Lepisosteus oculatus: one gene and its partner. Each later gene encodes a partner of the first gene's protein in a complex. Links are inferred from orthologs where the notes say so. Each region holds a gene or a part of one and is shown on either strand. Other genes may lie near its edges. The genes, in order: grb14 and insrb.

Evidence for each region.
Region 2: the proteins of grb14 (region 1) and insrb are in contact, whole or in part, in a crystal structure (PDB 2AUH), measured with the Homo sapiens proteins. The link is inferred for Lepisosteus oculatus from reciprocal best matches to the Homo sapiens genes GRB14 and INSR. Residues at the interface, in NP_004481.2 of Homo sapiens: Glu373, Asn374, Ser375, Leu376, Val377, Ala378, Met379, Asp380, Phe381, Ser382, Ser386, Val388, Ile389, Glu394, Val398, Ala399, Glu401, Glu402, Gly403, Leu404, Trp406, Arg407; in NP_000199.2 of Homo sapiens: Leu1065, Arg1066, Ile1069, Glu1070, Lys1112, Arg1116, Arg1163, Met1180, Arg1182, Tyr1190, Lys1192, Gly1193, Gly1194, Lys1195, Gly1196, Leu1197, Leu1198, Pro1199, Val1200, Trp1202, Ser1207, Leu1208, Lys1209, Asp1210, Gly1211, Gln1235, Asn1242, Glu1243, Leu1246.

The regions. Positions count from the first base shown.
Region 1 is NC_090707.1:14,976,329-14,980,252, reverse strand, and holds the start of grb14 (growth factor receptor-bound protein 14), read left to right. Parts: upstream 1-1,776; 5' UTR 1,777-2,126; coding exon 2,127-2,314; intron 2,315-3,924. UniProt on the Homo sapiens protein: Adapter protein which modulates coupling of cell surface receptor kinases with specific signaling pathways. Binds to, and suppresses signals from, the activated insulin receptor (INSR). Potent inhibitor of insulin-stimulated MAPK3 phosphorylation.
Region 2 is NC_090724.1:6,046,572-6,050,495, forward strand, and holds the start of insrb (insulin receptor b), read left to right. Parts: upstream 1-889; 5' UTR 890-2,194; coding exon 2,195-2,273; intron 2,274-3,924. UniProt on the Homo sapiens protein: Receptor tyrosine kinase which mediates the pleiotropic actions of insulin.

The DNA of each region.
Region 1 (3,924 bases):
ATTTTGAAAATGACTTGGCTGTTAATATTGAAACATCATTTGCTTACAATTGAAGTGATTAAAAAGACAAATCTTAGGATATATACCTAAAATAGCAGAATTCAAATGGATGTTAAAATTGTATAAAACACTTGTAAGGTTTTGTTAAGAACATTGTGTACAATTTCGGTCACCATGTTCTAGAAAAGATATTGCCAATAGGTACTAAATCATTTCTTCTTGAATCTCAATGGCATTTCAAAATCCCCAGGGGCATTGATTAAGTGAGTCCTGCAGCCTTCCTCAGCATGAACAGTGGAGCATGAATCATGAGACACAAGTGGAAACTATGTGGAAGTGAATTTAAACCTGAGAACAGGAGGCTCTTCTTTATTCGGAGGGCTGAGAGATTATGGAATACTTTACCCAGCTGTATTGTTGAAACCAATACCCAGGCTTCTCTCAAGAAATGGTTGGATGAGGTACTTGGATCAAATGGCCTTTCATTGTTTTAACTCTTCTTATGTTCTAATCTGATTTTGTCCTGAGAAATTAGAGCAATGTGTAGAAAAGACACATTTTGAAGTGATCAAGTTGAATGACAAGAGGGGATGGTTTTTTTATTTAAAACACTTTTTTTGTAACCTTGGTATACCTGTATCAATAAGAGATAAATGAATATTCATAACTTAGGAATTCCAGAAAGACACTTGTCTTCTGACATCACCAAAGTGCAACACTCTTACAGATGTATGTATACATTTGATTAAAGTAAAGTGTGGATTAAATTAAGAAGAACATTTTGGTTATATTAAAACCACAACAGCTTTTCTGAACAGGAAGATTAAAGTCAAATTAGTTCATTTTTTATGTGATTAAGAAATCTATAATATACTCTTGTAATAAACTGGAATATAGTGTGTATATTTCATATTCTTTAAAAAAGAGTGGTCAAACCATGTTGTAAAATAAGGTGGATTATAACCTTACTGGACTCTTTAAACAACTGTAGTGAAAACTGCTTCAAGGAGCAGTGTAATTTCAAATACACCAAATGGGGAGAGCTTTCCTATGGTCAATGACAGTACACAGATGACACTATAGTGGCAAGTGTGCTAGCAATATTGCTCACCAGGAGCACACTACACAATGCCTGAAGGATTCCAGTGATCTCACTGACCTGTGTTATGTATTGCTATTGTCCATGCATATCTCTGCATATTTACTGTACATTTGTATGTAAAAAATCCATGTTTACATGGAGATTGATATAAAATAGCTTTGGAAGAATTACATTATCTTCAGAGTTATTTAGTCAATTATACCTAAATTATGATTTGTGTTTAATCACTAACAATGAAGACAGCGTTTTCCATTATTGCACTGTTGCCAGAAGAACTTCAAGGCTTATTGAAATTTCTGCAGAACAGATAAATGTTTTAAAACCAGAAATTGAAAATCTCATCTGTATGTAATTTATGACAGTCTTTGACTTAATAGTCAAAAACTGGTTCAGTTCAGCCCTACTTGAAAAAAAGCTGACTTCATTAGAATGCTTACTTTAATGTAAAATCACATTTTCAAATACTATATATATGCACACGTATGAAAAATAGCTGGATTTTAAACTCTGTGCTTGAATATAGTTTCCGAATAGTGCTGAGTTTAAAGTACAATTAGGAACTCAGTGCAAAGTCCATGACAAAGAAACAGTTGGTTTACAGTCTGGAAGTGTGCCAGATCTCATTACAAGACTAAGTTGCATACCGGCAATGAAGAACCTTTTGTATAAGTTGCTTTGTGCAGCATTTACTTCAGGTAGTGTTTGAAGAAAAAAAAAAAGAAGTCAGCCAAGACTGCAATGACAAAACAAATTTTTGGAATTTAATGTGCTACTGTGTAAATGCAACGAAGACCGACTTAGGAGTCATCACTTTAAAAATAACTTTATTGTGGTGGATCATGTTTTGGTAGGAGGGATCATTTATCGTGCTGTTGCAGGCTAGCAGCATATGAAGCGCTGAGGTTAAGCTGCGTGCAGAGGGCAGAGGAGCCCAATGTGTTAACAGAGTGCTCTGTAGATACTTTGCGTCAATAGGAATTCTGCTCTTTCTCGTTTAAACGATGCCTTGGATATAGCCATCTCCATGAGTGATATGAGTAATACAGTAGAAGACTTACAAACTTCTGGAAACCTGGGAGAAAAAACAGCTATTTTTCAACATGACAGGAGTAATGCAAGTCGTTTTTCCAGCCCATCGTTGATACCTCTGCGTGCACCCTTACCACCATCAAATGCTCTACAAAATAAGGCAGCTCTTTTCAAGGGGATTAGGTATGACTGGTTTAATATAAATGTATAATCATAGATTTTTTTTTTCTGTATCGCTTGCATTGGTTTTGAATTGTGCTCTTGCAGAATAAGATACATTTTTTACAGTTTTCAGCATGCAACCTTTTAAAAGGCAAGCTAATTTTTAACTTCTGTGATCAGTGAGTGCTTTTAATGTGCACTCTAATAGCAGGATACTAACTTTATTGTGTTCTCAGTAGAATAGGCAATAGAATTTGTACTTGTAAATACAAGTGGCAAATAATGTAGATTAAAGAATAAAGAGGTTAGTAAGTCCATTTCGTACATTTTGACAGCACAAACAAAGAATCTTATTGAATTCTACCACCTGTTACTTTCCTGAATATAATTAGTTACTTAGTAACATTTGTATTTACGGAGCAGTGAAGTTATCTCATTGTGGCACTACTTTTGGCATGCTTAAAATATTGATCAACTTTAAAATATACAAGTTATGTTCAGCTTTTATGCATTTATTTTCTTGCCAAAAATATCAAGTAGCTTTTATTAGGGCAGGTGTAACTTTCCCACATACAATGCTATTAAAAACATTCTTACTGTATTCTGTCAGTAATGCAGTTGTGCTCTGTCAATCTCAACTTCATTCTCATGGACACAGCTGTGTTCTTGTTACTAACTGTAAATAAGGTGGTGTTTAAAACTACAATCCTCTCTAAAATGAAACTAATACAGGACTGATTAGCTAAACAGAATCTTATCAAGTTTTATTATCATTTTGAAATAAAAGCCTTATTATATGATCATATTATTTGTTCATGTCTGATTTTGCATCATTAATTACTCTGGGTAGAAGACTGGAAGGTCTGTTAACATACTGATGTGGCAGCAGAAATTAACCCTTTATTCTTTCAGATCCGCTGTTCTTAGTCAGAGTACTTGCAGATAACATGGATGACACTAAATATCCCATCATATAGAATTGTGCAAATCTTTGTATACATTAAGCAGTATCAACAACCCAACAGGCGTATACCATTTATATAGGTAGCTTGAATTATTTCTAGCTTTGTCTGTTTGGTATTTTTGTATTCATGTTTTATTTGAAAACTAAAGAAAGATACCACAAAGATTGCTTTTCAAAAGCTATTTGATTTAGGAGACGTTTTGTAAAAAGTATAGTGTGTTTTATTCAATCAACTTTATCTAGTAAAATGATTTATGAGTCAATTTCCAAAGGAAAGGTTCTTGAAATCTACTTTACGTCCTTACATTTGATTTTACAGTCAATATTTTCAGGAAAGGTTGATGGTGTTGCAAGGTACAGTAATTATTGTTGTTTTTATTAGTTCTGTTTTATTTTCTTTATATTTCAATTTATGAGGCAAAAAAGCCTCAGAACATATGTGTACAAGATAATGTACATCAGAAAAAAAATCCAACTACTGTATAAACAAAAGGAATCAGAAAAGATAATTATACAGTACAATGGAACCTATGCATCATAAATTCTTTAAGAATGCCACTTTGAACAAGAAAATCTTAAGACAGATTCAGAATTCCTGATTTCACAGAAAAGAGTATTCCACAGACTAGGTGTTTAGCAGGAGAAGGCACTATCACCTTTCTCTAAT
Region 2 (3,924 bases), on another chromosome or scaffold:
TTTTCACAGCACTAAAAAACAGTGCCTCGCCTATCTCATTTAGTGTTCACTTTGTGTGTGTTTTCATCTGCAGGTCTGAGCCCCTCTCCTGCTGACCCGAGTGTGCCCAGCAATATGGAGTTCAGTCCCGAGAACAGAGCTGCCTTACTCCTGTTGCAGCACATAGACTAGTGTTGGCACTATGGGACTGACAACCGAAATATAGGTTTGGAAGTAGTTCAGGTGGGGAGCTGCGTCAGCTTGCGTGGTCTGCAAAGGAATCAGTAATAGGTTTATTCCATGCTGAAAAGAGAAGAGAGAGCACACAACGTTTCGCCTACAAAGCCTTCACAGCCGAAACGTTGTGTTTTCTCTCTTCCCTTTTCAGCATGGAATAGATCTATTGCTTGTTCTTTTATAGGTGTTAAAGCAGAGAATCAACACACACACACATATATATTACTTTCAGCCACAGAAATAAGAAACAACAACTAACTATCTAGCGTATGGCCAATTACCTTTGCTAAATCTATGCAAACTGGGCGCTAGAATGAGTATAGGATGTTTGGAACCCAATATCCTGCCCAAAGATGAGACGGGTCCGTTTCCGTTTTGTTTTTCAAGTGGGGCAGCCGTTCAACACACCACGAAAGTCGAGCAATTACCGGGGGGTTATGCTAATGAAACAGCATGCGTTCAGGTTGCACTGATGCACTGATGTCATTCCCCGGCGGTTCCACCCCCCTGAACATACTAAACATACACCCCCTCACCCCCCCCCCCCCCCCAACTCCCACTCGTTTCTGCTGACTCCAGGTCGTATTTTTTTTTTAGGCTGTCAAATCCAGTCCGTAGTTTGCGCCGTGCCTTGCGCCAGCTGACTGGCAGCTCTTGTTTACTGGCAGGGAGATACTGAGAGACTGAAAAAGGGGGAACTTTAGCGGAGAGAGAGAGAGGACGAGCGGTACTGCAGATTCGGGGGGGAAAAGAGAAGTTTTTTAGCTTTTTTTTCCGCAGATTCGCTTGCTGTCGACGCGTGTTTACCTTGCTGTCGCGCTTTTCGCCGTCGTCCGAAAATCTTTTCTACAGCCTGCTTTCCAAAAAAAAAAACCACGAAAGGTAAAATAACCTGTCCGGGCTCAGATTAGCCCAAAAAGACGAAGACGAAGAAGCAGAAGCAGAAGAAGAGAAAAAAACCAGTGCGGGGAGTTTTGCACACTCCAGAAGCACCGTGCGTTGTGTTTTTTTTTTTTATTTGTACTGTTAAGTAACTATCATACATTTCCATTGTTTGGGACGTGTTTTTTTTTAAGACTCTTTGGGAAACTCGCCAAAGAGTTGAAAAGGAAGCTGAGCGAGGAAGGACGTTTTTACCGAAAGGGAAAAGCAATTTTTTTCGGATTATTTCCTGCGGAGTTCCTGTGATGTTTATTTTTCTATTGGACGTTGTAACACTATTTTCCTGTGATACGGAAAGGGCAGGGAAGGAGAGGGAGGTTCGGGAGGAAATAATCGTGTATAAAACACAGTGAAACCGGGGATTAAAAACTAAACGTTTTTTTTTAATTTTCATGTCAACAGTGCGAGAGGAGGAGAATACCACGCTTTATAAAAGGACAGAAAAATAAAAGAAGATCTTTGTATTTGCAAGTCAAAATAAACAGTTGCATCTTGCAGAAAAGCAACAGCTAATCCAGGAATTTTCTTTTTTTAACCTTTTGAAGGAAACCCCAGCTTTTATGTGGGTATGAGCGACTCGCTACCCCTTAGGGTACCTCCTTATTAAAGCGGTTTGCTGGTGGGAATTATTTTCTCGACTGAAGGAGGATTTTGTCAAACAAACTTTACCCGATGAAAGTGGACGACTTGTATCACTTGATTTAAAATGAAGCTCTGGGTTCGCCAAAGTGCTGTCAGAACCCAAGACCACATTATTTGATGCAAATCTAACCTGGCGAAGTAGTAAAACAACAAAAAAAGTTAATACATATTTTGAGTATTAAAACGCGTTTAAATATTCCCTCACCCCCCTTTTTGGGGGTGGTGTGGTTTTGTTTTTTTGTTTTTTTGTTTTTGTTGTGTATGAAAACGGCTTTCAAGCAAGAATCTCTGATTTTATAAACGATTAAAGGAAAAAGTTTTACTCAATTTTTGGATTTTTTCCCCTTTTAATCTGGCATTTTTTGGTGGATTTAAGGACATCACTGGGGTCAGAATGCGGTTGGACACCCCGGTGGTTGCTTTCGTTACTTTTATCTGCGTTTTAAGCAATTGCGGGATATCGGATGGAGAAAGTAAGTAAATCAAAGCTTTATTTTCCATTTAAGGATGGCGTTGGAACTCTTTCGCTGCGACAGTGTACAAATGTGCTATTTATATCATAAATCAGTTAAATCGTTAGAGGGTTTTTTATAGGCCTCGTGTTTTGTGGAACTGCTCAGATTGTAAGAAATGCAAAATGTATATATTGTTTACACCTAATTTGAGTATTTACGTAACGTTTTAAAACGCGGTTTTTGGTGGGAGAACATTTCCCAATACCATTTTCTTACGGCGGAATAAGTCAAATTTTAAGTGTTTTTTTTTGTAACATTTTTAGTTTTTAAATATTTTTTTTAGAGAATTATTATTATACGATTATATTTTGAGGCCTGCTTGCGCATACATGAGCCCGAAGGCTAGATTAGCCTTTGTCGCGGGAAGAGGGTGGGATATAGACAGCGATTCTAAACTTAAAGGTCCGGGACTCGTCTGTCCGCCTAGGCCTGTGTTCACGTTGAACTAATAATGCAACAAATGAGATTCAGAAGTCCAGTGTTTTGTAGGATTACATGTGACCCGGGCATACACAAGATGTGGTGCGTGCTTATTTTTTTTTCTGAGCATTGTAGGAAAGCAAATAGTTTGTCGTGTTTTTATTATGGCATTTTAATGTATATTATATAGAAAACTGCGCAGAAAATGTAAAAGAGACCACCATTTTCAGTTGGTAATCTTAACCCTTTTCCCCTGTTGGTCAGGGTATAAGCCATATAAGTCTATATAAGGCACAGATTTGACCGAAGATTACCGTCATAAAATAATTAGCTCACACGCACACACTAAGTTTTGAAGAACCGCGTTCATTTTGTTTATGCATTTCATCCACTCCCGACACCCTGCTGATACACTGCACTTTGACACAAAGTACTCTGTGCGGGGGCTTAGTGTATCTCTGGGCAGTTGGTGTGGGTCATGACAGTTTCTACACTAAATTTTCATCTGCTTTTCCGACTTATTTGATATGCAAAGCAAGAGGTCGATGTATGCAGTAAGCGATTCTAGATAAATATCTTGATAAATGCATGCACGCACAAATAGGATACTTAAAGATTTTGGTAGCCTAGAACATCACGACATTATGTTCCGCTGTTCAAACAGAAAAACAAAATCTTGTACACACCGATTTCATAACCTATACTGTTCTGTCGGTCACAACCCAAAAACAGTGGAAGACTAATGCTGACTTTTCCGTCGTGTGAAGTACCCATCCTATCTAGATGTGAACGGATGAAAATGTATACAAAAAAATCACAGCAAATGAATTTCCCCCAACGTTTTTATTGAAGCTGGATTTATTTTAAAACCATAGAGAGTAAAAGTCAGCTTTTGTGCAACTTCAGGTGAATGCAAAAGTCTTTTTAAAACGTTTCATTAAATGATTCAACAAGTATTGAGGGGAGAAAAAATTAACAGGTGTCTGGTTCTCGTTTAAAAATAACCAGCTTTTAAAAGAGGAGTCGGCAAAGCAGCCAACCCTAAAGATAACTTTATAATAAAAACTTTGAACTAAAGATCGATTACTACCCCGTGTTCCAAATTGGCAATAATAGAAGTATACGTGTCTGGAGATGTTTTCATGTTTGTGCATCATTAATCGATATTGTGTCAAGATTATCACTCAAA